Regions from separate parts of the Mus musculus genome. Here regions 2, 3 and 4 are each reported to be linked to region 1. Evidence: microRNA targets listed by miRTarBase, many of them from high-throughput screens and not tested one by one. Region 1 holds a microRNA gene; each other region holds the end of a gene's coding sequence.
Evidence for each region. The annotated mature microRNA mmu-miR-206-3p reads UGGAAUGUAAGGAAGUGUGUGG and lies in region 1 at 3,841-3,862, shown strand. An mRNA with a match to its seed (bases 2 to 7 or 8) in the 3' UTR can be bound and repressed. Matches are read on the target gene's strand: a 7mer-m8 pairs with bases 2 to 8, a 7mer-A1 pairs with bases 2 to 7 and ends in A, and an 8mer does both.

Region 1 (7,125 bases):
TGTAAATGAAAGGCTTTTAAGTAGGTCATGCATAAAGCCCCACATGGTATGCATACCTAGTCACTGAATTAGTAAGGAAGATATTAAATACTACTATTATTAATAATAAAACAATTTTTTAAACTAATACATGCTCACAGCACTTTACACTTCCCAAAAGTCTCTCACTGGAGTTTCTTGTTGCATAAGCATTATTGTTCCCATGTTTCAAATAAGGAAACTGAGGCTATAATCAAGTCCCGGTCTTCACCCTCATACCCGTTGCATCCAATAACCTTGGAGATTACAGCACTGTGTTGGTCTGTAATCTGCTCTTCTCCCTGGCTCAAACCATTCCCAATTTTCTCAAAATCTCAGAAATGTTCCAAAGACTATCACCAGGAATTCACCATCCTCATGTCCTTGTAAGTCAGTGTTTGTACTATTTGTGTTCTACTACACAAATGTTCAGCTCAGGAAAAAAAGACAAGACAAGACGAGGAGAGGAGAGGAGAGGAGAGGAGAGGAGAGGAGAGGAGAGGAGAGGAGAGGAGAGGAGAGGAGAGGAGAGGAGAGGAGAGGAGAGGAGAGGAAAGGAAAGGAAAGGAAAGGAAAGGAAAGGAAAGGAAAGGAAAGGAAAGGAAAGGAAAGGAAAGGAAAGGAAAGGAAAGGAAAGGAAAGGAAAGGAAAAACTACGGCTGTTGCTTATGATTTTGGCACCACTTTCACTGTTGCTTAAGTCCTGATGCTTCTCAATACCCTTGCTTCGTTGAAATGAGGGAAGAACACCTTAGAATTGGAGGCTTTTATGAATTAGTCAATTGTGGGATCGAGTTGGGTGGTGGAGAATAAACCCTGTTTTCAGTATCGTGCTGAGTGACATATTATCATTAGCTTGTTCTCTTAAGACACTCAAGACCTTCACGTGGTATCTCATTAATCACCAATCACCTTTTGGTGGGCAGATGGGGCTCCTCAACCACTACTTTCAGATAAATATCCTGGGATCTGGCTATAGATGAGGAGAAAGGTGGGTGTTACCAACACAACACAATGTACAAGTGACTGGATGACACACCTAGTCTCCCAAGTCTCCTCAACACCACCCATCAAAGGCATAATAATATAAAGGCTAACATAAAGTAATTAAATGATCTGGAAACACGTAACACACAGTTTCTTTATCAACGTTCTTTGTCAACCGCAAGGAAGCGTGTGTCTTTATGTTCTCCATCTTACAACCCTTCCCGCCATTTTTTTAAAGATTTATTTATTTATTTATTTATTTATTATATGTGAGTACACTGTAACTGTCTTCAGACACTCCGGAAGAGGGAGTTAGATTTTGTTACAGATGGTTGTGAGCCACCATGTGGTTGCTGGGATTTGAACTCGGGACCTTTGGAAGAGCAAGCAGTCGGTGCTCTTAACCACTGAGCCATCTCTCCAGCTCTTCCAATGCTATCCCAAAAGTCCCCCAGACCCTCCCCCACCCACCCACTCCCATTTCTTGGCCTTGGCATTCCCCTGTACTTAGGCATATAAAGTTTGCACGACCAATGGGCCTCTCTTTCCACTGATGGCCGACCAGGCCATCTTCTGATACATATGCAGCCAGAGACACAAGCTCCGGGGGTACTGGTTAGTTCATATTGTTGTTCCACCTATAGGGTTGAAGACCCTTTTAGCTCCTTGGGTACTTTCTCTAGCTCCTCCATTGGGGGCCCTGTGTTCGATCCAATAGCTGACTGTGAGCACCCACTTCTGTGTTTGCCAGGCCCCGGCATAGTCTCACAAGAGACAGCTACATCTGGGTCCTTTCAGCAAAATCTTGCTAGTGTATGCAATGGTGTCAGCGTTTGGAGGCTGATTATGGGATGGATCTCCGGGTGTGGCAGTCTCTAGATGGTCCATCCTTTTGTCTCAGCTCCAAACTTTGTCTCAACCTTCCATGGGTGTTTTGTTCCTCATTTCTAAGAAGGGGCAAAGTGCCCACACTTTGGTCTCAAAGTCATCTTTGAGAGAAGACAACATCTCCTTTGACCTGAGTAGCCCGCTACAGAGTTATCTGTCCCTGGCACTGTGCTTTGGATAGACCAATCCACCAAATGTGCAGGAAGTTTGGCCATAGATTCCCTTACATAAAGCTTATGCTTAATCCAAGAAGAATGGTATCCTTTCAGAGCAGAAAGAATCTTAAACAGCCAATAGATTACATTAAGTGAATTACTGGATTGTTCCCTGTGTCATGCAGAAAGATTTTGACTAGTATGCTAGTATGCCTGGATCATTTTCCTACACACCTAAGGGAGGGAAACACACACACACACATGACTTCTAAATCAATGCAATACCAGCATACCAAGCTCAAAACTGCAGAAGGATGAAAATGGAATATAAAACCTTTGTGTCCTTCCTTCTTTCCTTCCTTCCTCCCTTCCTTCCCAACACCTCTTACCTTCCAAGCTCTCATAAAGAAAGCCTGGACTGATCCAAGGCTGTTCTTCCAATCTGGTTTGATTTTTCTTTTTTTTTAATAATTTCCATTTGCATATAAGTAATTTAATTCACTTCTAGAGCCATATCTTCATGTGTAAAACCAGAAACAAGCGGGTAAAACAGTTTCACATAGATATGAGGATTCAAAGAGCTGGCATAGGGAAGACATTGAAAATGATCCTGTCATATAAAACTTATCTGAAAAAAGTTACTTTTTATTATTATTAAAAAGTTATTATTGTTTGTTGATTGTATGAAGCAGCCCTCACAGAGCTATGAGCCAGTTCGGGACCCTTCTTCTCCTCTTAGCTTGCTTCTCTATTTCCTGACAGAGAATTCTATGCCAAGAAGTTCAAACCCTTAATTTTCCCCATCCAGGGTGATCAGTCAGACCCTGAATGGCTCAACAGCTGCCAGTGTCCATTCATCTCCTACAGCCCAGGCCTCACAGATTGTGACGCAGGTGATTGGCCACGAGCAGCAGGGGCTGAACAAAAAAAGATCCCTTCCACAATGAACAATTGTGTTGGAATGCTCATCTGGCAGCTGCAGCCTGTCAGCATATTCCAAGCAACCCAAATAGGAAGTACAATAGCGCCTGGGCCAGCCTCTAAGCTGAGCAGTTCTCCACATGTTACCCCTGTTTTAATGTTCTATTAGTTCCATAATATTAAGGAGGAAGAGGGGAGGGGGGATGGGGAGGGGGGAGGAAGAGGAGGAGGAGGAGAAGGAGAAGGAGGAGGAGGAGGAGGAGGAGGAGGAGGAGGAGGAGGAGGAGAAGGAGAAGGAGAAGGAGAAGGAGAAGGAGAAGGAGAAGGAGAAGGAGAAGGAGAAGAAGAAGAAGAAGAAGAAGAAGAAGAAGAAGAAGAAGAAGAAGAAGAAGAAGAAGAAGAAGAAGAAGAAGATGAAGAAGAAGATGAAGAAGAAGAAGAAGAAGAAGAAGAAGAAGAAGAAGAAGAAGAAGAAGAAGAAGAAGAAGAAGAAGAAGAAAAAGAAGCATTTTCAAATCCACCCTGCAACCTGCACCCTGGTAATTATAGTGATAACACAGGTTGCCTGGCCATAACTACGCTGAAATCTCTAGTGGCCTTTGGGGGAGCCTTGGGGTCCTTGATCTCAGACTGAAGTGTATAGGGGGAAATTTGTTCCCAACAAGCTCTGCCTGTTAGGCCAAGATGGCACCTTACTCCAGGATAGTTTCTGGGAGTGTAGAATGGATGAAGTCAGGTCCCAGAGATTCTTCACACTTCTCACTTGTGCAAGGAAGAAAGCAGCTTTTCCTTCTGCGTGACAAGTGCCTCGGAGGACACAGCTTCCCCAGGCCACATGCTTCTTTATATCCTCATAGATATCTCAGCACTATGGAATGTAAGGAAGTGTGTGGTTTTGGCAAGTGCTTCTTCAAGGCCGATGGCTCCACCCAGAGAATATGCTGTTGACTTCTTCGTTCCTTGGCTACATTTTCTTACCTGCAGGTGCCCTCTTCCCCAGAAATCTACCTCTACAGACTTCTCCCACAATACTGGGTTTCAGGTCAACTATGCTCCCCATCCTAGCCCCTTTATACCAACATCCTTCACATCTACTCTCAGGGAATCAGCTCCCGGGGTCCTAGTTCCTTCCTCTGCTCATATGGCTCCTGCAATGGATGTTTCTACCAAGCAAGCTCAGGGATAGTTCATGGTGCCAGGTGTGTGACTTGTGTTATAAACAGAGAGTATACAACTACTGGGCTCTGAAGAACACCACCCTGGTAGAAGGCTCCACATCTCCTGGCCCTGCTGCTGTTCTTTCTACTTCACAACCCCATGTCAGTGTGTTGCTTCTGGGTCACACTGTCTGAAGAAAGATGGGGGTCCTAAAATAGTGCTGCAATCATTCAGTGGCCTAAGTTCCTTTGTTCTCAACCCAGTGCCCTGTGTTCCCAGTTCTGACTCTAGTGTCTAAGCTCATGTCATGAAGGAGGTAGACTCTAGAGGGAAACCGAGAAGAGGCGCTGTAGTGATATGCCAGATGCAGGCTAAGACTCCATTAAACATGCAGCCTGAGCTCTTACCCAAAACAAAATGAAGCACCATGGCATTTGAAGACTGGCACCATGCCCAGAAGCCCAGAATGGCAAAAAAGGAAGATAAAGGATATGTGTATTTCCTGGACCCTCAAAAACATCAGCATACCGAACACACTGGGCAGTGTTCATACTCCCAAGTGAGATGCAGCCACACTGGGGACCACTACATCCCTCTTTCAGGAACCAGGTAGTTCCCTAGCTACCATCATGAGCATGCCACCCTATTCTTCTGGGGATAGGTGAGAGTGTGGAACAGGGGTGGTGGATGGGGGGAGATTAATAGAGAAGGGCCAGTTAGAGGACTGAGCATAGGATCGTACCACTGTGGATCAGTTCCCAGGAAGTGGGTAATTTGGAAAAATTGTTGTCACACTTAGGGTATTCCTGGTGTCTAGGGTGTGGAGACCAGGGGTGCAACGAAGCATGTATAGTGTACAGACCATCTCCATAGCAAAGAAGTACCCAGGTCAAAATGTCAATGTGTGAAGATCGAGAAAACCTGTATTTATTAGTATGGTGTCCGACACTGGCATTTTCCAGGAAAAAAAATCTCTGTCCTTTCTGTTTTAGACTTCAGTCTTTTTTATATAAAATATCTGATGCTTCAAACTGAACTTCTTTCCATTGACAGCCTATCTTTTTTTCTAACTAGCCCATGGATTTTTTTTTCTACCCTGGTGTTTGGTTTCATGTCGTTCTGAAATCAGAGATATGTTATATAGATGGCTGTGTTGCTGAGGCTGGATCAAAAGACATGGGCAAACACAAGGAAAGAGTTGGGGGAGCTGTGTTCAGAATTCTTTTTCAGAAATAATCTCAGACAGCCAGGCTGTCTCTGCCCCTGCAGTTGCCTGGCTTCTTGTTCCCTAACATAAGCTGTGGACAAGATAGACATGGGAGGAGATAGAGGGCAGGAGTCACAAGACGCCTATCATTAGAAAAAGGACAGTGGAGAAGGTAAGATTGTGACAGCCAAGCCAAGAAGATTCACACCAAGGAGGTGTGGCCCAGGACACAGAGGAACTTTAGTACTATCCTAGAGTCACACTGTATTTTGTAATGCTAATTTCTCTCATCACAACATTCATACATGATAGGTGTGCCTTTATCCAGTTGCCTTTTCTGCAGTGCCCTGTTGGGTGCTTTAAAGTATGAGGTACCTTGATGATTCGAGACAGGCCTCTCTAACTAGAGTCCATCTGGAAGAAGCCAGGCACCTGGCTACCTCACTTCTAAACGTGTCCAGTGGATTTTAACACATTCACAGATAAGTATAAATTCTTGTTGATGAGTGATGGGGCACACTCTCTAGGCAAGATGGAGTTAAAAGTGAAGTTTTGGCCTCAGAGGCAGGCATAATTGCCCCTCAGACTCTCCTACAAGCCTTGCTAGTCTCCTCTGTGTACCCTAGGAACTTAGAACACCCTTCATTACTATCAAAATTCACAAGAGGCAAACTAGGCATGTTTTCCACAGTATAGACAAACATGCTGACCTGTCAAGATGCTACTTAACACCTCAATACCAAACATCATTATATGATATTTCTCAGTATCAAATTCTCAATATCAAATAAATAATTAATAAATAGATAAATAATAAATAAATAAATAAATAAATAAATAAATAAATAAATAAAATCAAGAATGCATCAGTGGATTTTGAACCCAGAAAATTTCAGGATGGTTTTGTTTGTTTTATTTTGTTTTGTTTTTAGAGACAGACTTTCTCTGTGTAGTGTTGGCTGTCCTGGAACTCACTCTGTAGAACAGGCTGGCCTCAAACTCAAAGATCCATCTGCTTCTGCTTCCCAAGTGCTGGAATTTTAGGTGTGTGCCACCACTGCCTGGCCATACTTTCTTCTCAATGACTTCTATTTATCAAGAAGAAGAAAACATGTTAGCCAGTAACTAGCCCCAAAGGAGAAAGTTGGTTTTCTGCAAGCACTCAACTATCTTTTCGGCCTACATCTTTCCTCTCCTTATGCCAATACCTTATGGAGATAGCAAGCCATATTTTCGGGGAGCCTTTCCTTCTTACCTACACTTGATCTCACTTTACTACTAACAAGCCGAAAGCAGAGGATACCCCTTCTATTCAATGGTTCTCAAACTTTAGATACCTCAGAATCACTGGGAAAGCAGGGTACATGAGTTTGGGGACCCCACTCCTGGGTATGTCAGGGTGGTAAATGTTACTTTTCGCTTAAAAGGTCAACTTGTAAGTTCTTACATACTGGAATCCAGACTTCTTCATGATCTACAAGAACCAAAAATGCCTCTGTTTCCCTCGATAGACTCTACTAAAGTCAGTTCCACCCATTCTTTCAAACCAAAGGACTGTGATAGCTATTACTGGGAGAAGGAATGAATATAATATATTTAAATAATAAAAAAACTGTCAAACAATGTAAATTAGTGAATTGTAGTTACCATATTCATATGAATGAGCCTTACAGATATCATGTAAGGTAAAATTAAAATGCCACAGATAAATATTTATAATATTAAAATATATTGATTCAGAACATGCATAAATGAGAAAAGCTATAAAGAAAAACATCTAAATTACAAGAA
Region 2 (7,125 bases), not on the chromosome of region 1:
GTTACTGTGCCATTAGATCTCGAGGCTTAGTGCCTTGCATGCTTCCGCAGATCAGGCTAACCGGGAACCTCAACTCTAATCATCACTTAAGCACATCAGGTTTTATTTTGTTAACAAAATTCTTTTTAAATTGTATTTATTTTGTACAGCTGAAAACAATCTGAATCCTCCTGTTTGACCAGTGATCTGTTTAGCCTGTAAATGGTTAAGGGGTAGCAACCCTACAACCCCTTACTGCCAGTCAGAACCACCAGGGGGCAGTGGTTCCTAGACGCTATAGTTTATAACCCACATTAAATTCTCAACTGGAATGAAAGTTTACAGTACTCAGAACTTACTTGCCTCCCCCTTTCATTTTATTGCTACCGTTAATATAACATTAACTATAAATATTTTAGTTTAAATAGTGAATTTGAAAAATGAAATTAATGATTGTTCTTTTTCTTTTTAAACAGGGCAATAAATGTGTTCATAAGTGCCAACCGGCTAATTCATCAAACCAACTTGATACTTCAGACCTTCAAAACTGTGGCCTGAAAGTTGTATATGTTAAGAGATGTACTTCTCAGTGGCAGTATTAAACTGCATTTATCTGTAAATTTTAAAGTTTGACTGTATAAATTATCAGTCCCTCCGGAGGGACCTAATCCAGGATGTTGAATGGGATTATTGCCATCTTACACCATATTTTTGTAAAATGTAGCTTAATCATAATCTCACAATGAAGATTTTGCATCACTTTTGCTATTATCATTCTTTTAAGAATTATAAGCCAAAAGAATTTACGCCTTAATGTGTCATTATATAACATTCCTTACAAGAACTGTAAATATTGGTGTTTGTTTCTGACATTTTAACTTGAAAGCGATATGCTGCAAGATAATGTATTTAACAATATTTGGTGGCAAATATTCAATAAATAGTTTACATCTGTTAAACATTTCTTTACTTGAAAAAAGATGCATATATATATGTGTGTGTGTATATATGATCAGAAGACCAAGACAACTTGGTATAATGTTAAAGATCTTCTAATGGGAGCTTACTAGCAGTTTATCAAATAATAAAGGAACAAGAATTCCTATTTTTTGTCCTTAATCACTTTGAGCAAAATGTAGTCAGTTAAAATACTTTTGTTAGTTGTTACATATCAAGAACTGGATATTTTTTCACTATTTCCAATCTTTATAGACCTGAGAAGAGAGATGAAGCTACGGGGTCTTCGTACTGTAGTAACACTTCAGGTTCATGACGCTTTCTGAGTGGTAGATGCGGCTCCACGAAATTACTTCTGCTATACTAGGCCCTAATAAGCTTTGCACATTGTCCCCAGAGTAATCACAATTTAAAAAAAAAAAATTCTAATAGTTGTATTGAGATTTTTATCAGTGTTAATATAATATATACTCTTTAAATATGTATAGTTTGTTTCACACTAGAGAAGTTATAAGAAAACTATGTATCGGTATTCATGTTGAGTGATTTGAGTTTTTAATTATAAAATAAAGGGAAAATCAGGTTTTGTTCATGTTTTATAAAGAAATGAAATATTAAAATTTGTTGACAGAACTTTGCTATAAGACAATTTAGTTATTTTTGTTATTTAGTTGTTTTTAGAAAGTGAATTTTTTTAGATTGCTGTCTTTGACAGCATAAAACCGCCCTGTTAAATATAAGTCAGTGTATGAAAGGAAGCAAAGCAGAAAAGACAGATAATTGAACTTACAACCTATGAGTGTGTTCCTAATTTGATTTGTGTTTATTGAAAAGACCATTGCAGAACCATTAATTTAGCATAGGCTAAATATCTTTAGTATTTTCATCAAAACTCAGCATTTTTTGTTGGAAAATGTAAGGAAGACAAGTGTATGACTGGTAGAAGACTCCTAACCAACAGTCTCAACTGCCTTTCTTGTATTTTCATTCCCTCTTAGAAGGTGCCAGCCTCATTTTTATAAGTCTTCTCTTTATTCTGTCATCAGCTGCATTGGCTTCCACTGTAGTGAAACAAACGTGTTCATAAAGAGGGCGGATTCTGAGAGTCCGTTATTTCTACAAATCCTAAAAGATCTGAGGTGAATCAGTAGAGACGGATACGGTTTGCTTCCCGTGGCTTCTGAGGAGGAGAATGGAAGGAAACACATGATTCTGGTGTTTCTATGTTGAGTGCTATTGACAAATGCAGTTAGTACAATTGATCTGTTCAGAGTCCTATACTTAATCATCTTCATTATACTTGAAGAATCAGAAATGAGCTTAGCTGTCAGCTGAGGGCTGAGCTTTTGGTTCACGTCTTCTGTGTGCTCGCTCCACTTATTTTTGCTCCATTGCCAGAAACAGAATGTAAGAGGCTGCTTCACCAACCCCCTTTTTAGTTTACTGGGATACAAATTACAGCAATGTGGTTTCTTTTCAGAAATCCAACGCCCCTTCCATTATACTTACACAACATAACATAGTAAATGATAGGTGGGGGTGGGAGTAGGATGAGGAGCTAATAGCTGTCCTTTTTAATAATTTTGATTTTCCATATGGGAATATCTTCAGACTCTCGGGAAACTTACAAGAATAATAGTTGCTCAAAGAGAAAACTGCATACCTTTTGCCATCTTCGTTGCTTACCCTGCACTCTGTATCACTATACTCTGCATGCTTTGCCTGTCTTATAGCCTCAGTGCTATAAGTTGTTCCTCACTTCACGTTTTCTTACTAGATCCAAGTTATGTACCGTTGGTCCGAACATTGCACTGGTGGTTGTCATGAGGAGGAGATGGAGAGCTCCGATCCATCTCCTCACTGGTGATTCTAGTTTTCATCACTTGGTTGTGGTGCAGTTGTTTTTCTCCAGTGTAGGATATAACTTGGTTTTACTAGTACATGACCTCTGGAAGGCTTTTAAGAACATGCCAACATCTTCCTCTGGGGATGAAGATATGTTGATGCTGTTTGCTCTAATCTAACACTGACTTTCCAATTCTTTTTTTTTTTTTTTTTTTTTTTTTTTTTTCATTTTTTTTTTATTAGGTATTTAGCTCATTTACATTTCCAATGCTATACCAAAAGTCCCCCTTACCCACCCACCCCCACTCCCCTACCCACCCACTCCCCCCCTTTGGCCCTGGCGTTCCCCTGTACCGGGGCACACAAAGTCTGCGTGTCCAATGGGCCTCTCTTTCCAGTGATGGCCGACTAGGCCATCTTTTGATACATATGCAGCTAGAGTCAAGAGCTCAGGGGTACTGGTTAGTTCATAATGTTGTTCCACCTATAGGGTTGAAGTTCCCTTTAGCTCCTTGGGTACTTTCTCTAGCTCCTCCATTGGGAGCCCTGTGATCCATCCATTAGCTGACTGTGAGCATCCACTTCTGTGTTTGCTAGGCCCCGGCATAGTCTCACAAGAGACAGCTACATCTGGGTCCTTTCAGTAAAATCTTGCTAGTGTATGCAATGGTGTCAGCATTTGGAAGCTGATTATGGGGTGGATCCCTGGATATGGCAGTCTCTACATGGTCCATCCTTTCATCTCAGCTCCATACTTTGTTTCTGTAACTCCTTCCATGGGTGTTTTGTTCCCACTTCTAAGGAGGGGCATAGTGTCCACACTTCATTTGCTCCCACATGGACCAGTCAGCATTGGACATTCTACTTGGAAACGAAGTCCTGTTTTCCTGTCCCGTCATTCATTTACCCAGCTATGTGTTTCCACCTAAATTTGGATGTTATGGGTTCATAAGGGTTTGATTTGTTTGTTGTTTGTTTATTTTATATTTTCCTAGTGTTTTATATCCCATACTCTGGTATGCAAATTTTATTTTAAATTTGACAGATAGCTCTTAGGTGGTTCCTGGGCCCTGTGAGTTCTCTTTTCTGTTTGTGTGTCTTGCCACTCCCCCACCTCGCCCACCCCTTAATTAACCCTTCATAAAAGCATCCCAAGATCTGTGACCATCTATTTCTTCATACAGCCAGAATGAAGTTACTAAAAGTTTACACTGTGATCTGGGGTGTTTTCATTGCATCTAGGCCATTCATCAGACCAATATGCCTACATACATACAAATGTATACGTGCCCTTACATGGTTCTCAGAAATGAATTCACAACTCCCAAGTTCCACAGAGCTCTTTCTTGTCATCATCTTTCCATATTTCTTTGCCCTTTACTCTGTAGTTCCAGTCACTTACTTGTCCATCATGGGAGTATAGCCCAGAGTCTCAGAATTTTTCACCTCACTAAACAAGAGGGTTTGTTCTTGATGTCCCAGTGTCCTGCTAAAGATTAAGAATGTTATATTATGCATTCATGAATTAGTTTTTGTCTTTTACTGATTATGAAAATGCAGTTGTTTACTTTTTCAGTTGGCTTGAAGCTTAAGGTGTAGTTGAAAGCCACTTAGGCTTGTTGATTTAATTATTTTAAAGTAAACCGAAGCTTGCCATGCGGGTACAGCTCAGCATTTCTCTGAAACATTTAAAAAAGGAGCCTCAGCACTTAGGGTTTTGCTGTGTTTTCCTCCTGTGTATTTTTTCTTTTATAAAAGAAACCTATCAAAATCCCCCTCCTCCCCTTTCTACTCTTTCCTCAGCATACATGCAGAGAGTAAAACCGCTGCAGTTGTCCCAGGACAAGAGACACAAAATGTTGAGAGTTGAAACTAAAAATGGGCAAACAGAAGGAATTAGCCTTACTTTTTTATTGTTGACAACACGACTGCAGATTAAGTTATAAAGAGATGTATTTAAGCTTAGAGATTTGGTCAGATTTGAGAAGCTTGGATGTCTGAGATGTTTGAGAACCACAGTGGGGCAGCCCGACAGTAACAAGGACTTGCTTTCTCCTTATGAGGCTGCATGTATTCGGCTCCACCCTGCTGCCTACCCATGTCCAGGGGCTTCCCTGCCAAATTGTATGGTTGGATTAAGTTTCCATCCATTTAACAGCTTACAGTGACAAAGTCCCAGCAGGAATTTTGAAAAGGACAAACATTTAAAGCCACAATAGTCATTTTGCCTGCATGTACTTAAGTCTCTCAGGGTTTTGTTTTTGTCTCAACTGTGAAGATCAGACTAGCCTTCTCATTCAGCCCCTAGTTCTGGAATAAGTGCTGAGAGCCAGCACACATAGGGCTTTATGTATTTTCTCTAAAATAGGTATAATGGCAAAGCTTAGCTGGCCCAGGAACTAGTACATCTACCCTTAAAAAGATTAGATTAAAATTGTATCACAAAACACATTTTAGTTGTTCCATTCAGTGATTTTAAAATATGGAGTAGTGCAACCTAAGCTCAGACGTAGAACAGGCATGACTGTGTCATCTCTCAACTCTTCCGATTTCTCATTCCCATCTCCAGGCAAAACTGAGCTGTGTTCTGTCCCTAGAGGTTTTCCGTTTTGGGGCATTTTCTGTAACTATGCATGTCTCAGTTACTGTTCTGTTACTATGGAGAGGCACCATAGTCAAGGTAACTTACGAAAGAAAGCATTCAGTGGGGAGCTTGCTTACAGTTTTCAGAGGGTGAGTCCATGGCTATCATGACCAGAAGCAAGTTGGTTGCCAGGCTGCTTGAGTATTAGCTGCGAGGTCACATCTGATCCACAAGCAAGAAGCAGAGGAAAGAGTTTAGAGGCATGTCAGGGGAATGCATACACACCTAGCTTGACGTGGACTTTTAAAATTTCAAATCCACTCCCAGTGATATTCCTCCTCCAAGAAGGCCACATCTAAACCATGGAACTTCACCAACACATATTGAAATACATGAGGCTGTGGGAGCCATTTTCCTTCAAACCACCACGATGTGGACTGTTGCCTTCTACATCTGCCTCTCGGCCTTCTAACTTAACCATGGCAGCATATGTGGTGTACTTCACTGCTGAGTAGCCATCCATCATGTTTCATATTTTCCTTTACTCATCTAAAAGTGTGTTAGCATTTCAGTTAGATCTAATTATTTTCTGGCTACTATAAACTTAAGTAGACATCTTGCTGTAAGACCTGGATTTTTGTTAGAGGGTATTTAGCAGTGTAATTGCCATTCAGTAATTTGATGTAGAACTTCCAAGTAGCTGTGCTGTTTTACATCCTTGGAAGTAATATATGAGGGTGCCACATTTTCTCACATCTTTATCATGTTAACAACTTTTAAAATTTTTGAGTGCATGTGTATATGTGGCAGGCAGAGGGGTGGGGGTTGTGCACACAAGCTGCCAAGAATATGTATGCTGGTGGTGTGTGTTCGTGTATATGAGTGCATACTCATACCACACATGCCATGCCATGACATACATGCTGTAAGATGTATGTAGAGGTCTTAAGACAACCTTAAATGTTCATCTCTGCCTTCCACCATGTTTGATATGGGTTCTTGTGTTCTGTTGTGTACAAAGCTGACTGGCCAGGATCCTACCCTGAAGTTTTCTGTTTCCATCTGCCTTCTTGGTGTAGATACCCTGACATGACAGATGCCCAGCACTGTGGTTTTACTAAACACACAACCTTACTCTTGCCCTGTACCGTTCCTCAACCCACAACTTCTTTCTATTACAGGTATTCTAGTAAGTGACGTGTTTTTATTTATTAACTATTTTTGGAGTGGAAGGATATTTTGTAGTACAGGCTACCCTTGAATTCCTGATCTTCCTGTTCCAGTCTCCCCATGCTGGAATGAGTATCAGGTGTACACTGCCAACTAGAAGTGGCTTTAATCCTCTCTCTCTCTCTCTTTCTCTCTCTCTCTCTCTCTCTCTCTCTCTCTCTCTCTCTCTCTGTGTGTGTGTTTGTGTGTGTGTGTTTAACAATGACATTAACATTGCATGGGATCGTTATTTCCCATACATACTTTTGTTACTTTTTCATCCCTTCAATAATAATTCCATATAGGTTAACAGAACTTTAGTATTTTTACGCACTGTTCCATTATACACCATAGTTTATCTGATCAGTCTGTACGTGGACATGGAAGTGGTTCTTAGTATTTTGCAAAACTACATGGCTTTCCAACACTGCTTTGTTTAAGTTATATCATTAGAGTAGTCTGCAAGTGGAATAATTGCATTTAAAACTATGCACATATGTAATTTGTTACTGTACCAGTTTCCAGTCCATGGTGTTGGCATTTCACATTCT
Region 3 (7,125 bases), not on the chromosome of region 1:
CATGATATGTACTCACTGATAAGTGGATATTAGCCCAGAAACTTAGCATACCCGAGATATAAGATACAATTTGCAAAACACATGAAACTGAAGAAGAACGAAGACCAAAGTGTGGACACTTTGCCCCTTCTTAGAATTGGAAACAATCACCCATGGAAGGAGTTACAGAGACAAAGTTTGGAGCTGAGACAAAAGGATGGACCATCTAGAGACTGCCATATCCAGAGATCCATCCCATAATTAGCCTCCAAATGCTGACACCATTGCATACACTAGCAAGATTTTGCTGAAAGGACCCTGATATAGCTGTCTCTTGTGAGACTAGGCCTGGGCCTAGCAAACACATAAGTAGATGCTCACAGTCAGCTATTGGATGGAGCACAGGGCCCCCAATGGAGAAGCTAGAGAAAGTATCCAAGGAGCTAAAGTGATCTGCAACCCTGTAGGTGCAACAACATTATGAACTAACCAGTACCCCGGAGCTCTTGACTCTAGCTGCATATGTACCAAAAGATGGCCTAGTCGGCCATCACTGGAAAGAGAGGCCCATTGGACACGCAAACTTTATATGCCCAGTATATATTCCCAGTACAGGGAAATGCCAGGGCCAAAAAATGTGAATGGGTGGGTAGGGAAGTGGCGGGGGGGTATGGGGGACTTTTGGGATAGCATTCCAAATGTAATTGAGGAAAATATGTAATAATAAAAAATATTTTTAAAAAGAAACATTCCCTGCTCCAGTTGTTGGGGGACCCTCATGAAGACTGAGCTGTAATGTATATATGCAGAGAGAGAGAAAAAGAGAGAGAGAGAGAGAGAGAGAGAGAGAGAATATCAGAGGGACAGGAAAGAAGTCACTCAACACCCCTGTAGACAGAGAGGAACCTCTTTGTCCTTGGTGGCCAGAAAGGCAATTTGGACTTGAAGCTGGGGTGGCAAACTGGAGCCCACATGTACACATAAATACATAGCACATACATTAACATACAAAAATATGCATATGCCATATATATGGATACACTCATGTACACACAAGTACACATACACATGGTATGTAGATATAAATACATACACTACATATACATATGCACCTATCAAATATGTATTCATGCACAAGCACACACATATACACAGGCACACAGCACACAGAGCTGAATGCACACACAAACCGTGAAGGTGCCAGGAGGCAGGAAGGAGACAAAACTTTCATCCTTGCTACCCTCATGATAGGAGCCTTCAGTTGTTACACTGCTCCTAACTTTCTGACTTGTCCTTTCTGAAGGTGGGGAGGTGGGATAGGGACTCCATCACTTGCAGTTTTTAAAATTAGTTTTTTATTTAGAGTTGCTTCTATTAGTTGGACTGCCTCAGACTTTATTGTCCATGAAATTTAAAACTGTTGCCTGGCTGTTTGCAAATGAAGCTATCCTGTAAAACTTTACACACACACACACACACACACACACACACACACACACACACATGCCAGCTCTGTGCCTGTTGGCAGGTCCAGGCTGAGAGGAGAGAACCCGTTCCAGCCAAGTCTCTCCTGGGGGCTGAAGTGGGATGGTGAGTGTTGATCTCCTGCCATCCAGAGAATAACCACATGGCGTGGGGAGTCTGTCGAAGCAGGAACTCATTTAATTGTATCAATCTTTTTGTTTATAAAGGGCTGAGAAAGGAGGTGGGGGGTGTTGCTGAGCTGACAAAGGGGTAGGAGAAGGGTGACAAATGGGTGACTGACAGAGCCAACAAAGTTATTTTACATCAGCAGTAGCTAGGCAAAGGCAGGCTTAAGCAGGCCATGCTGAGTCACTCCAGTACAGAAGTGACTGAGACAGTTTTCAAAACTCGAGCCAGGCTCAGGTTTGTCCTCAAGGTCCAAACCAGGGCAGAATAGGGTCCAATACACACACACACACACACACACACACACACACACACACACACACACACACACGCTATTTATGTTTCTAGAGAAAAATATATTTAACACATTTTGGTTACACCACCTTTGGGTTGCCTGCATTCCTCCACAGACTTAACCAGAGCCTTCTGGAAGTTTCGCTGTGTCAACCCAGTATTACTAGGAGGTAAGACATCAATCTCTCGGCCTGAAGCTGCTGTCTGGGCAATAGTTCTCATGGATCTGCCTAGGGCCCCAGTGCTCACTATCCCATTGCATATTTTAGAAATGGCACATGCTCCCAGCAGCATAGAGAAGGTAATGGGAGCTGCTTAGGACTCAAGCCACCACCACAAACCACAAACACTTTAGTCAAGGCCTCTGTGCCCAAGGGTTCCAGATTGAGCTGGAGGGAATCAAAGATTTGCCATCTGTAGAAATACCTACCTCGGTACTGCCAGGGTGAAGGGTATTCACTGGGCTACACTGGGAGAGGATAGGACGGATGCTGGTGCCGGCTTGCCTGTGGGTATGAGCATCTCTGAGCATCTCAGAGGATCCCCATTCTGTCTCCTTGTTCTGTGAATGTGAACATGGGCATCAAAGGGCCTGAGCTACTCAATCAAGGAAGGTACATGCCTAGGGCATCCTGGTGATGTGCACTTCAAATGGCTTATCCTTTAGGGAGAGGAGCCATGCACCTGCTAGGCAAAGCATATTTCCTTCCTTCTTCACAAATGCACTCTCCATTCCTTGATCCCTGGACATTCCCTGTCCACCCACACCCATTGTATACCTCACCCAGCTCAGTCCTCCCCAGAAACTGACTTATACACTAACCCTAACCTCAATGAGCTTACAGGGCATCTGGCTTCCAGCTAGGGCTGGTTCAGGGCAGATTCCCATGGTTTGGCTATGTCCCTCCAACAACCACAAGGCCTGCTCTATACAGGTCTAGCCAACTCTACTGCCCTGCCAGTCCTCTCAGGCCTTCTCGTTTGCATAATCCAAGGACACCAGAGCCTTTCCTTGTAAAGGCCCTTGGTGTGCTCCATCTTGCTCAGACTTTGTTTATCATCTTACCCTCGCCTTCTTCCCTTGCAGAGCCACACAGAGAAGAAAGGCTCCCCATTGTCCTCAGGGACTGGCATCACCACTTCAGTCCTGCTGCTCTAAGTCAGCTACATGAGGCCTTGGAAAGATCAGGCAAGTTCAAAACTAGCCAGGAAGTCAAGTGGGGTCATTTCCTAGCCAGGATTCAATGGAACAAGGCTTTGGGGGACGCTCATTTAACTAGATTTGCATCCCTATCAGTCATTCATCACCAGAGACCCTCTTCTATGTTTTGGAGAAACGACCTTGTCTATGTCATTTGCTGATTGCCTCCTCCCACCCCAGCCCCCTGAGCCTGCCTCAACTGTCTGCAGAGTGAAAGACACTTTTACCACATCAGCAAAACACCACGTTGAGCTGAGAGCTGCCTTGAGGTTTGCAAGATCCCTAAATAGAAACCGGTCGACTGCAGGCTTTCACACTGAGGGAAACACAGATTGTGTTTGGTGGAAGAGCCCATGACATGTCAAGGTCATTTACAACTAACTATCTCTCTCTCTCTCTCTCTCTCTCTCTCTCTCTCTCTCTCTCTCTCTCTCCCTCCCTCCCTTCCTCCCTCTCTCTCCCTTCTTGCCTCCCTCCCTCCCTCCCCCCTCCCTTCCTCACCCCCCTCTCCTCTCATTCTCTCTCATCTCTGTCCAACAGAGTTTGTTTCAACAACAAAAACCTGTCATCTGACTGCGTGTACAGTACTAGTCATGAGTGACTATCAACCACTTGAAATGGGCTGATGTAGCTGAGGGAAAAGATCTTTTATCTCGTTTCGTTTTTTAAAACTTAAGTTTAAGTAGTGTTATGTGGCTCTGCAACAAGCAGAAGCACTGAGTGACAAGGAATGCCATCTCGATCCTTCATTGAATAATTTCACAGAATTCACTAGAATCTATGGTTAGGTCACAGTTTCCTCCATGATGAAAACCTGCCATTTTAGAAGGAAACTTCTTGAGACAGGATGTTGACTGGAGGGTCAATCTGGCAGTGAAACTTTTAAGACAGGAAGTTAACAACTCAGAATAGTTCCAAGGAGTCCCTGAAATTGATCAGATTCACCAGGTCCTCCTTCCCATGAGTATACAAGCGGTAGAGACTGCTAAGAGTTACTCTCAGAAAAGCTGAGCTGCCTGCAAGAGGCTCAGATAAACCCAACAACCTGGAAAGGGCACTTTGTAGCCTCTTGAGCTGTCTGTGGGTGATGCAGTGAGTCTCAAGTTTTCAGATCTTGTGAGCCATCACCCACGCTGAGGTAGGCTTTTGTGATGTGGCTGTCCCAGAGTGATTTCTGCTCCTGTAAGTAATCCTTCCCCCATATTTCTGTAAGTAGCCCCAATAAAACTCATTGGTCCCCCAAGTTGGATTGTGGTGCTATCCATACCTTGGTCAGTTGTAGGTTCACTATCTAAGGTGAATAGACATTTATTTAGTCTTCACAGGAATAGTCTTGACATATGTCAAAAGTCAAATTCTACCTTATCAGTAGCATAGTTAAACATGGGAGTGATTGCTAGCCAGCAGAGAAATCTGTACCAACCCATTTGTATCACAAAATAATGGTCCTGCCTCTGGGTTAAATGTGAGTGTACCATATGCAGGCGGTGAAATTCATTGAGCATACCTAGATGTAAAAGGGATTTGGAAAGGGCAGAAATTTCATCCTGAATCCTAATCTCCATGTTAATTTTACATGGGACGAGAAGGTCTCCTAACTTCCTTCTTGGAATTACCACCCAAAATCTTAGCATTGAGAAAGGCAGCACCAGGGCTAGAGAGATGGCTCGGTAGTTAAGAGCACTGGTTGCTCTTCCAGAGAACTCAGGTTCAGTGCCCAGCATCCACATGGCAGTTAGCAGCTAGTCTTTAACTTCAGTTCTAGAGGATGTGATGCCCTCTTCTGGCATCCATGAGCACCGCACACATGTGATACACACACATTAATGCAGGTAAAACACCCATATACATAAAATAATAATTTTAAAAGGCAGCACCAATTCTCATCCCTCCCTCACCACAGGTATCTCCTCACACAGTGGACAGCAGTTAATACAGACTCATAATCAGTCCACATGCAGAGAATAAGGGACTGTGGAGTGCTCATCCTAAACAGGCAACTGTATCATCCCCTCGCTGGCCAAGGCTCAGGAACCATCACAGAAGAGGGAATAGAGGGACTGGAAGAGCCAGATGTCAGGGAAGACTGGTAAAAATCATTGCTTTCTGGACCCAGCAGGACCACTGTACTTATAAATTCACAGCAGTGATGACTGCCTGGACAAGGCTTGTACAAGACCAAGCCAGTCAATATCACAGCATGGAAGGCATCCAGGACAGTTTCATGTCAACTTGACACAAGTATGATCATCAGAGAGGTGGAAGCCTCAATTAAGAAAATTATCTCCATGAGATTAGGCTGTAGACAAACCTGTAGGGCATTTTCTTAGTTAGTGACTGACTAACTAAGAGGAGAGGACCCAGTCCATTCCATCCCTGGGCTAGTGGTCTTGGGTTCTATAAGAAAGCAGGCTATGCAAACCATGAGAAGCAAGGCAGTAAGCAGCATCCCTCCATGGCCTTGGCATCAGCTCCTGCCTCCAAGTTCCTGCCCTGTTTGATTTCCTGTCTTGGCTTCTTTTAGTGATGGACTTCAATGTGGAAGTGTTAGCCCCTGGTAAGTTGTCCATTTTCCAGTGGACGGCCCCCCACAACCATCCATATACAGCAGAACTGGTTGAAAACGAAGAGGGCATGAAGTTGGAATGGGAAGTTGGGAGGTCTGGGAGGAGTCAGAGGAGGCTTTACTATCACAGAATGGATAAAAGCACATTGTGTCCACCTATGAAATTCTCAAAGAATGAATTAAAAATACAATGAACGAAAAAGATAATACAAGGTGTTTGGCTTTTCATTTGTTTATTAAATAGTATATGTCTCTCTCCAGTTCTTTCATGATGCTGGCAGAATGTGAGCTTTGTCCCTCATCAGGCAGAATCCACGCCTAATTCACCTACAACTGTGGTGACGAGGATCAGGGCGCACATGGGGATGACTGTCTTGCGGAGAGCATTGGGACCTGTGCACTGACACTGCCTCTCCTCTTACTGCATCCCTGAGCTCCAGCTGCCAGTTACTTACAAGATGCAGTTGAGTCTAGCTGTTAGGCTCTTGTTTCTGTAATAATGTTCAGTAACATCCCTAGCTGCGAAGTACACATAAAGACCATATTACCATGATCTCAGACAACAGAAGCATTTTGAAGGTCGTTGCAGAATCTATATCTGCCCTTCGTTGGATCGGCAGGAGTGTCAAGTCATGAGGAATGCCACCATGACAGACACTTGGGTTTTACTCGGCCACCTTGAGGAATTCACCAAAATCATGACACATCTCAAAACCAAATACTTCTTGGAATACAGGGAAACTGATTCCTCCTGTCACTATTAACCATCAGCTCCGGTGACTCCGATGCAGACTCCTTGGCAAAACTGAGACCCAGTCTCAGGATACGGAAGAGAATGGCATTGACTTGGTGGATGTGCACCAAGTACAGTCATGAGAAGTCTTTATTACACTAAAGTCACATTTCTGACCTTCTGAGGACTGGCGATGTCAAAGGAAACCCGTGGATGAGTTGCTGGACCGGGCTGATGTTTATTGAGTTCCTGGTAACAAAGGTAGAAGGGTCAGTGTGCTAACTGGCTGGGCCCCAGGCACTGTGCTCGTCTGAGAGACACTAACCTGGGAAGATGCACTGGGAACAAGGATGAGCAACTGTACAGAGACATGCCCTCTCCTCCCTTTTCTTCAGCAACACACGCTCTGGGTGCTTTCCAAGCCCAAAGAGCAAGCTCATTCTAAGAATCCAAGACTCATTTTTACCAAATCAAATTACAGATGCAAAGATTTTATGTTTTGCTTTGTTTTCTAATCTCCTCATGGAAGTTCTTGCTTTACCTAGTAGGTGTTTTTTTCTTTTTAAACATAAGATATTTATGAACATCTTCAAATAACACACACATTCCTTCTAAAAGAGCAAAAGCAAAATGGAAGTGCTGAGCTGAAAAACACCACCCCCGTGTCTCCTGTGGCATTGTGTGGCGCTGGTTTCTCATTCA
Region 4 (7,125 bases), not on the chromosome of region 1:
TACAGTCTATGGAAGCAGAGAGGCTAAGTAACAGGAAGAACTCAAGGAGGGTGCATAGATCTCTCTGGGAGGGTGGAATAGAATAGATATCACATAGATATTATGAGTGGATGGGGTTAGGTGGAAAGAGAAAAATCAAGGAGCAGTTAAATGAAGATAAAGAATGATGAGAGAGATGCCTGGAATTGGAAGACCATTCCAAAGCAAGTTAGAAGCCCAGGGCAACAAAAACTCCCAGGGTTTTATTAGGTGGCCATAGCTATTAATCCTAGTAATGGGGTATACAGAGCCTGAATAAGCCATTCCTCATAACCAGGCAAGACTTTCAGTGCAGTTGCTGGGACACCAATCCACCCACAAAAACTTCCACCTGAAATATGTCCTGCCAGCATGAGGTGCTGGGGAAAGGTGGCAGAGAAACTGAGTGGCAATTTAATGACTGGTCCAGATTGAGACCAATGCCACAAGAGGGAGCCAGTTCCTGACACTGCCTGGTGAACCAGAACACAGAGGCATGATTGCCCTGAGACCTAGGATAGAACCAAATACAAATATGCCTGGGAACCAAAAAAAGAAAAAGAAAAAGAGGAAAGAAAGAAAAAAGAGAAGAGAAGAGAAGAGAAAAGAGAAGAGAAGAGAAGAGAAGAGAAGAGAAGAGAAGAGAAGAGAAGAGAAGAGAAGAGAAGAGAAGAGGAAAAGAAAAGAAAAGAAAAGAAAAGAAAAGAAAAGAAAAGAAAAGAAAAGAAAAGAAAAGAAAAGAAAAGAAAAGAAAAAACTTACTTTTATATACTGGAGGGTGCCATAATCACAATCAGAAAGACTCTATCCAGAAACAGATGCAGAAACCAACAGTCACATATAAGGTGAGAGTCAGTGAATCATGTAGAAGAAGGGAAGGAAGGATTTTAGAAGCCAGAAGTGTCAAGGATACCACAAGAAAAAACCCACAGCATCAGCCTACCTGGACTCATCAGGGCCTTTTCCATTCTAGATATGAGGATAGGTACCTAGTCTTATTAAACTTGATTTGGTTTGGTTGATATCCTTGGCATGCCTACTCTTCTCTGGGGGGAAATGGAGAAGAAGTCATTGGGAAGGGACTGGAAAGAGAGGCGGGAGGAGAGGCTGTGTTTAAGATGTAATATATGAAAGAATAAATTAATTTTAAAAACTTTAAATTGACAAAAATAAAATAAATATTGTTTTCAATATTAAGGTGTATATTTTGAAATTCAGAAGCCAGAATGTTTATAAGGGACAGATAATTTTCTAATTTTTCCTACTCAGATTTTATTATAGCAATAATTTTTATATACTAGAAATTTTTCATTAAATGATGAATTTTATTATCAAGATTGATATCTATATGCCTGCTTTCTCATCTTTCTAAAACATAATGTTTTGGGTAATAGTACAGTTTAACCTCACACTCTTAGTTATGTCTGCTTGCACTGCAATCAAGGAAAGATTACCACAAGATACTTACCAAGTGTCTTTTTAGTTTTTCCAATCTACAATTCAGTGTTTTCTCAGCTGCAGAGGTATTGCTCAGAGGACAGAACACAGACTTTGTCAACATTTTCTCTATTTTTTAATCACTAATCCAATCTATTAGACCATATATACATATATTTGGCCATGAAATATTCCATACTCTAATGCAGGAAAAGTCAAATAAAAGTGGATTCTACACTAAAAAAAATGAAAGTCAATAACAAGTATTAATAGCTCAGCTAAAATAACAGTTCGTATCCAACATTTAATCAACTCAAGCAAGTCATAATTTATTTAAAACCTATATCCACCAAATTAAAAAACCTATAATAAATTATTTCATCTACTAGTATGTTAAAAAGAGGTGTACATAATTTCAAGAAAATATAAGCACATCTAAGCTCTATGATTACCTTTAAATTTAAAGAAAATATGTATGTTCATCCCTAGACTTATATTTACAAAGGAGAAATTATGTTACCCTGAATATAAGAATGCTGTAGATTAACCTACTCCATACCAAGAGATATAGCAGTTATACTATGAAGTCATTGTGATAAAATGACATATGAAACATTTTCTTATATGAAAATTGTCTCTAGAAAACAAACTGTATTTTGTCAAGATATTACTGAATATTTTGTAATGTTAAAAGAAGTTTTTCTGGATTTTTTTTATTATGGATTGAAATTAGACTTGAGTAAAACAAGGTCAGCTTTTTAAAAGAGTAATAAGATATATAAGGCATATGTTTAAAGTATTTTAAAGCAACTTAACTGTCAAAGTATAATTATAAAATGCATGATAGAAATAGATAATAGAAAATAGTTTAGAGGTCAGGTGGGGTGGAGAATGGGGGTGGGGACATCCTCACTGAGACAGGGGAGTGGGGAGGAATTATGGGGTGTGGAACAGTCAGAGGGTGGACTGGGGGTGGGGATAAAATCTGGAGTGTAAAAAAATAATAAAAAAGAAAATCACAAACACAAAGAAAAAGGAAAGTTTAAAAATTAAATTAACATTTTCTAGTGCCTCATTATTTAGTAAGGCAATCATTTTTCTTTTTCACTTTTATTTTTTTGTTCACTTTGTTTAACTGCATTCGGTAAGAGCTGAAAAAAAAATGTTCAAATTGTCGAGAGAAAAAAAAAGATTATTTTGTTACCCCAGCTATTGTTGGACAAAAATAATGTAAATAAAATTAACTTAAAAACCCATGTTCATAATGGCATTTGGGATCAAATCTGCAGAAATCTCTGAGTAACTTTGGGAAGTAAAAACTAATTGGAGTCATGTTGATGGCTTGCAGAAACTATGCAGTATTCATTCCTTCATTCCTCTGAGCCCTGCTGGGAAATCACCCTGATCATCACACCTAAATGTCATTTCTAGAGGAAAGTGTATTTATTCTGACTCATGGGCTCTGAGAAGGAATTACATGAGAATCCAGGGCAGTATGTAATAAAATATCATATCATGAAGAAGAAATCTATCTATCTATCTATCTATCTATCTATCTATCTATCTATCTATCTATCTACCCATCCATCCATTTATCTATCTATTCATCTATCCATCCATCCTTTCCACAATCCCTTTTATCTTGATCATTAACAGGTCTGGAAGATCTTAGTTGATATTTCACAATACTTTAATTTTCCTAAAATATTTAAATTCCAGGAAAAGAACGAAGTCTATATGGTTTATGCATCATTTTCAAGGTAGGCAAATACTAAGATACTGAAAAATATACTAAGTTCCAATTATTGTCTGGGGGGGGCATGTAGCTCAATATTAGGGAATTTATGTACCTTATAGACAGTACTGAATTTGATACTCAGCAATTGACTTCTGTCTCCAGTGGATCATTTGAATCCATGTCAACAACTTGTCCTTTTGATCAACATATGACCTTCCCTACTTGCTTCTGTGGAATCAATTTTTCATTTTAGGATTATTCACAGGGAAGTATATTCCATCCTACTCTTGCCTCATTTCATTTGTGAATATCTTGTGTATGTAGAATAATTACCATTATAATGATTGTATTGGTCATAATAAGCTCTAAGTCTGATTTATAAGTGTTTTAGTTTCACAACAAACCTTATTGCTCTCTTTGGTTACGTCTAACTTTCAATTTCTCATTATTTTCATGCCTAAATGAATTATTTCATACCCTTTTCCAATTGAATTCAATTTGATTTGTATCTTTCTTTTACCCAATTTCTCAAGATATTTCATTTTGAACTCAATTGTAAAATAAAAAATGTCAACCCACCAAAGTATATATTAGCAACACAAATATACTTTATATTCATTCAAGTGATTGATAAGAAAATATGTTTATGACAATGAAAATGATATATTTGTCCATATTAATTCAGAAATATTGTTCTATAGTGAGATGAAAATTATTGCACAGATGAAAAAAAAAGTGACTTTTTCCCTGAATACTATTGGTATCACATTAGGATAAATTAAATTAAACGTGTTTTACTAGTTTAATCATTCTAAAGAAAATTCATCAATCACATATTGTTTATTTGGTCGAATTTTTACTCTTTTAATATAAGTGAGGACTGGTAATATTCCTGACTCCTTCTGAGTCAAATGAATAATGAACCAAAAGCAAGGTGATAAAGTGATAATAACAGGGGTTTGTCATCCAAGGTCCTGACACCCTCTTAGATGTGACACTGGCTGTGCAATGAGACACCTTATTTTTCTTCTATCAACAATGTCTGTTAGAAGTGGGGTTCTTTTTACGTTTGTTCATCTCATATTTCACACCAAAGCTAGAGATCATGAACGTGAAGCATCTATTTGCAGACTGGTCAGGGAGTTCAATGGTAGGGCATATATCTACCGCGAGTGAGTTTTTGGGTTTCTCACTAAGTACTGAAAAGTTAGATAAGTATAAACTAAAAGTGTTGGGCTAATGCCCATGCATTACCTATAGCTCCTGTAATATGTTTCCATTTCATTTACCTAACATTGCTCAGTATATATATGCCTATTCTTACAAATTTTATGCCATAATAAAAACCAGAAATTATGAATCTTATTTCATAACTCATATCCATTTAGATTTACACAGAAGCAAACAATTTGGAATCTTTTTAAGCATCTATTTTTTTCAAATCTACTAAAATTAACTAGACATGGTTGATCCAGTCTATGATTCTGGCACCTGGATGACTGAGACAAGAGATTGCTGAGAGGTCAGTGCCAAGCTGAGTCACCTAATGACATCTAGACCAGCCTTGATCCCAAATAAAAGAATAAATCTACCAAACCCAATGAAGTCACAGTGGCGAGACAATAATTATTTCAAGGATCATTTATTTATCTTTTTTTTTTTACAAAATACAAGAACTTGTTCTGCATGAATATAGAGCATATGAAAAATAATGCACTTTCAGAGTCTAATTGTCAGACATTCAGTTTCTCAACTATTCTCTTGAAGAATTAGCTTTGTTTGGCACTTGGTTTTATATCATAAACAAGGAGGAAGAAAGCTTTTCCCTGTTAATTGAATCAGACCCATAAACATTAACAACTTAAAGATGTAAAATCAGACATTTGCCGCACAAGACTCGTTCTGCAAGGTAACTGATTTGCCTATGATCCTAATGTCTTTCAAGATATAAGAGAAGAAGGCTGGAGGGGAGCTAGGTATGTTCTCTAATGTATCTGCAGCAGTTGATAGTCAATGCAACAGAAGATTTGCTTTGTCTGTGGTACAAGGATATGTCCTATCAGACTCTACTGCATTTTATCTACTTGAACACAAGTAAGCACATACTGATTTTCTCTGTCTGACACAAATGTATAAAAATACAAGAAGCTGGCTGTGTTTGTCAATGGAAAAGCCTATTTTTAATCAGCTAATATGAATGCATTTGCTAAAATTAGTGAAGACAGGAAAAATGACTTAGGGGTAATATATACAGAGTTTCAGTACATTTTATATCCACTTGGTGATTTCAGGCACTGTGGCTGTTCAAGATAAACTATTTCATGGATTAACTTGATAGCAGTTTAATTTTCAGTGCAAGCAAAAGCAAATACCTGCCTAGTGTCACACACATGACCTGGCACAACTGGAATGTTCAAAGCATTTTTTATTTTTAACATCTTCACTCTGGAGACATCTTGAGTAAAAACGTCTTATCAAGTTTGCTCTTGGTAGCAAATTTAATTTTCAGTGCAAGCCAAAGCAAACATCCATCTCCCTCTCTGTCATATATAGGAACAAGTGTATTTGGAATACGTTCGCTTTCTCCAATTTCACTGTGGAAGCATCTTCAATAAAAGGCACTTAGTGTAAACCGTCTATCCATCATGAGACACAGACTCGAGATGCCTGCATTTAATTATACTAAGCCACACTGCCACAGACATCTGCCATGTAAACGATGTTCGGTAAGGTTTGCCATCACAATGGTGCTTTCCTGAGAATGGAGCTGGTCTTTGTAGGTATCATAAGTGTGCGTGCTCAGAGCTGTGGTCACTATCGCGGCTGTCCTCGTTTGCTAGTGAGTCCCCTGTCTGCTGGAGGGTGGCTGCACCGATTCCTGACAGCTCTGACGGAAGAAGCGTTCCCTTTTTCACATTCACCAGTTCCTTTTCTCGGGCAGCAGCTCCTTGCTGTCCCCCTTTGACCCGCTTCCACTTCATTCTCCTGTTCTGGAACCACACTTTCACCTTCAAAGAGAGGGAATAAGTAAGTCAGCAAAGGCAATAGGACCTAGTTGCTCAAGTGCCTGCGCACATACACCATGATGCAGCAATTAGAAAAAACAGGCAGGATTGCAGTGAGTTAGATTGCATGTGCGTAGTAATGGAAAAGGCTTAGTACATTCAAAGAATTATCGTAAATTCCAACACATAACACAAAGTTACAAATAGGCGAGGAAGTTTGCTCGGAAGCATTGGAGTGGAGTTTCTCATCGATCAAATAAAATATTATGTTTACCTCTATCAAAGTTTACACATTCTCTGAAATTCATCTTTGACTTGACAGTAGAATTTTTACAGGTTTATCTGCTGGTAAATCCACCTCTGAAAGCGCACTATTTACTACGAAAGTCCCTTAACTTGGAAAGGCATGAATTATCTCTCAGCACATCCTTTCAGATCGGCGGGGGGCATGGGGGGCATAATTCACCTCAGTAAAGGACCAGATGCTCCTGATTTATATGGAATGGTGTCCCAATAAAACTATCGTGAAGAAGAGTCTCCAGCCCACCACGGCTAAACTGGGGACTGTCTGCAGGACCTAGCACAGTTGGTTTCCTGATACTCTACAGGAAGTCTGTCTTTACTGGTCTTCTTTCTGCTCTTGCCTTTATTAACGTTTACTTCAGAAATATCATTGAACTGTTGCCAAAGAATGCAGCCACAGTAAAAATTCCTCAGTATTTACCTTGCATCCCCCGCCCCTGCCCGGGTGAATACCCAGAAACTTCCTCAAAGGACTCAAGAGAATGTGACAATCCACCTCAGTAAAAAAAAATTCATGAATTCATATTGATTAACTTATTTCACAAGATCTAGATTTGTCAGCACTTTTTTTTTAATACTAGGACTACTTACTATGTCCTTATTTTGAGATTTTTAAAAAACCTC

Region 2: miRTarBase lists Pdcd10 as a target of mmu-miR-206-3p. Seed matches in the 3' UTR shown: 7mer-m8 at 808-814.
Region 3: the mRNA of Igsf5 is a reported target of mmu-miR-206-3p. The part of its 3' UTR that is shown has no 7-base or 8-base seed match.
Region 4: miRTarBase lists Meox2 as a target of mmu-miR-206-3p. Seed matches in the 3' UTR shown: 8mer at 5,599-5,606.

What each region holds. Positions count from the first base shown.
Region 1 is chr1:20,675,215-20,682,339 of GRCm38, forward strand. Mir206 (microRNA 206) reads left to right here and starts at 3,796; the gene lies at 3,796-3,868. The region is part of intron 2 of Lincmd1 (long intergenic non-protein coding RNA of muscle differentiation 1); the gene reads left to right.
Region 2 is chr3:75,510,932-75,518,056 of GRCm38, reverse strand. It overlaps Pdcd10 (programmed cell death 10), which reads left to right. Exons shown (of 8, transcript NM_019745.4): 8 at 456-1,567. The coding sequence ends at 537. Among named protein-coding and RNA genes, the nearest start is that of Pdcd10, 42 kb to the left of the region's middle.
Region 3 is chr16:96,402,813-96,409,937 of GRCm38, reverse strand. Igsf5 (immunoglobulin superfamily, member 5) reads right to left here. Exons shown (of 9, transcript NM_001177887.1): 9 at 5,907-6,672. The coding sequence ends at 6,577. Among named protein-coding and RNA genes, the nearest start is that of Gm32358, 20 kb to the left of the region's middle.
Region 4 is chr12:37,177,229-37,184,353 of GRCm38, reverse strand. It overlaps Meox2 (mesenchyme homeobox 2), which reads right to left. Exons shown (of 3, transcript NM_008584.4): 3 at 4,820-6,201. The coding sequence ends at 5,977. Among named protein-coding and RNA genes, the nearest start is that of Agmo, 61 kb to the left of the region's middle.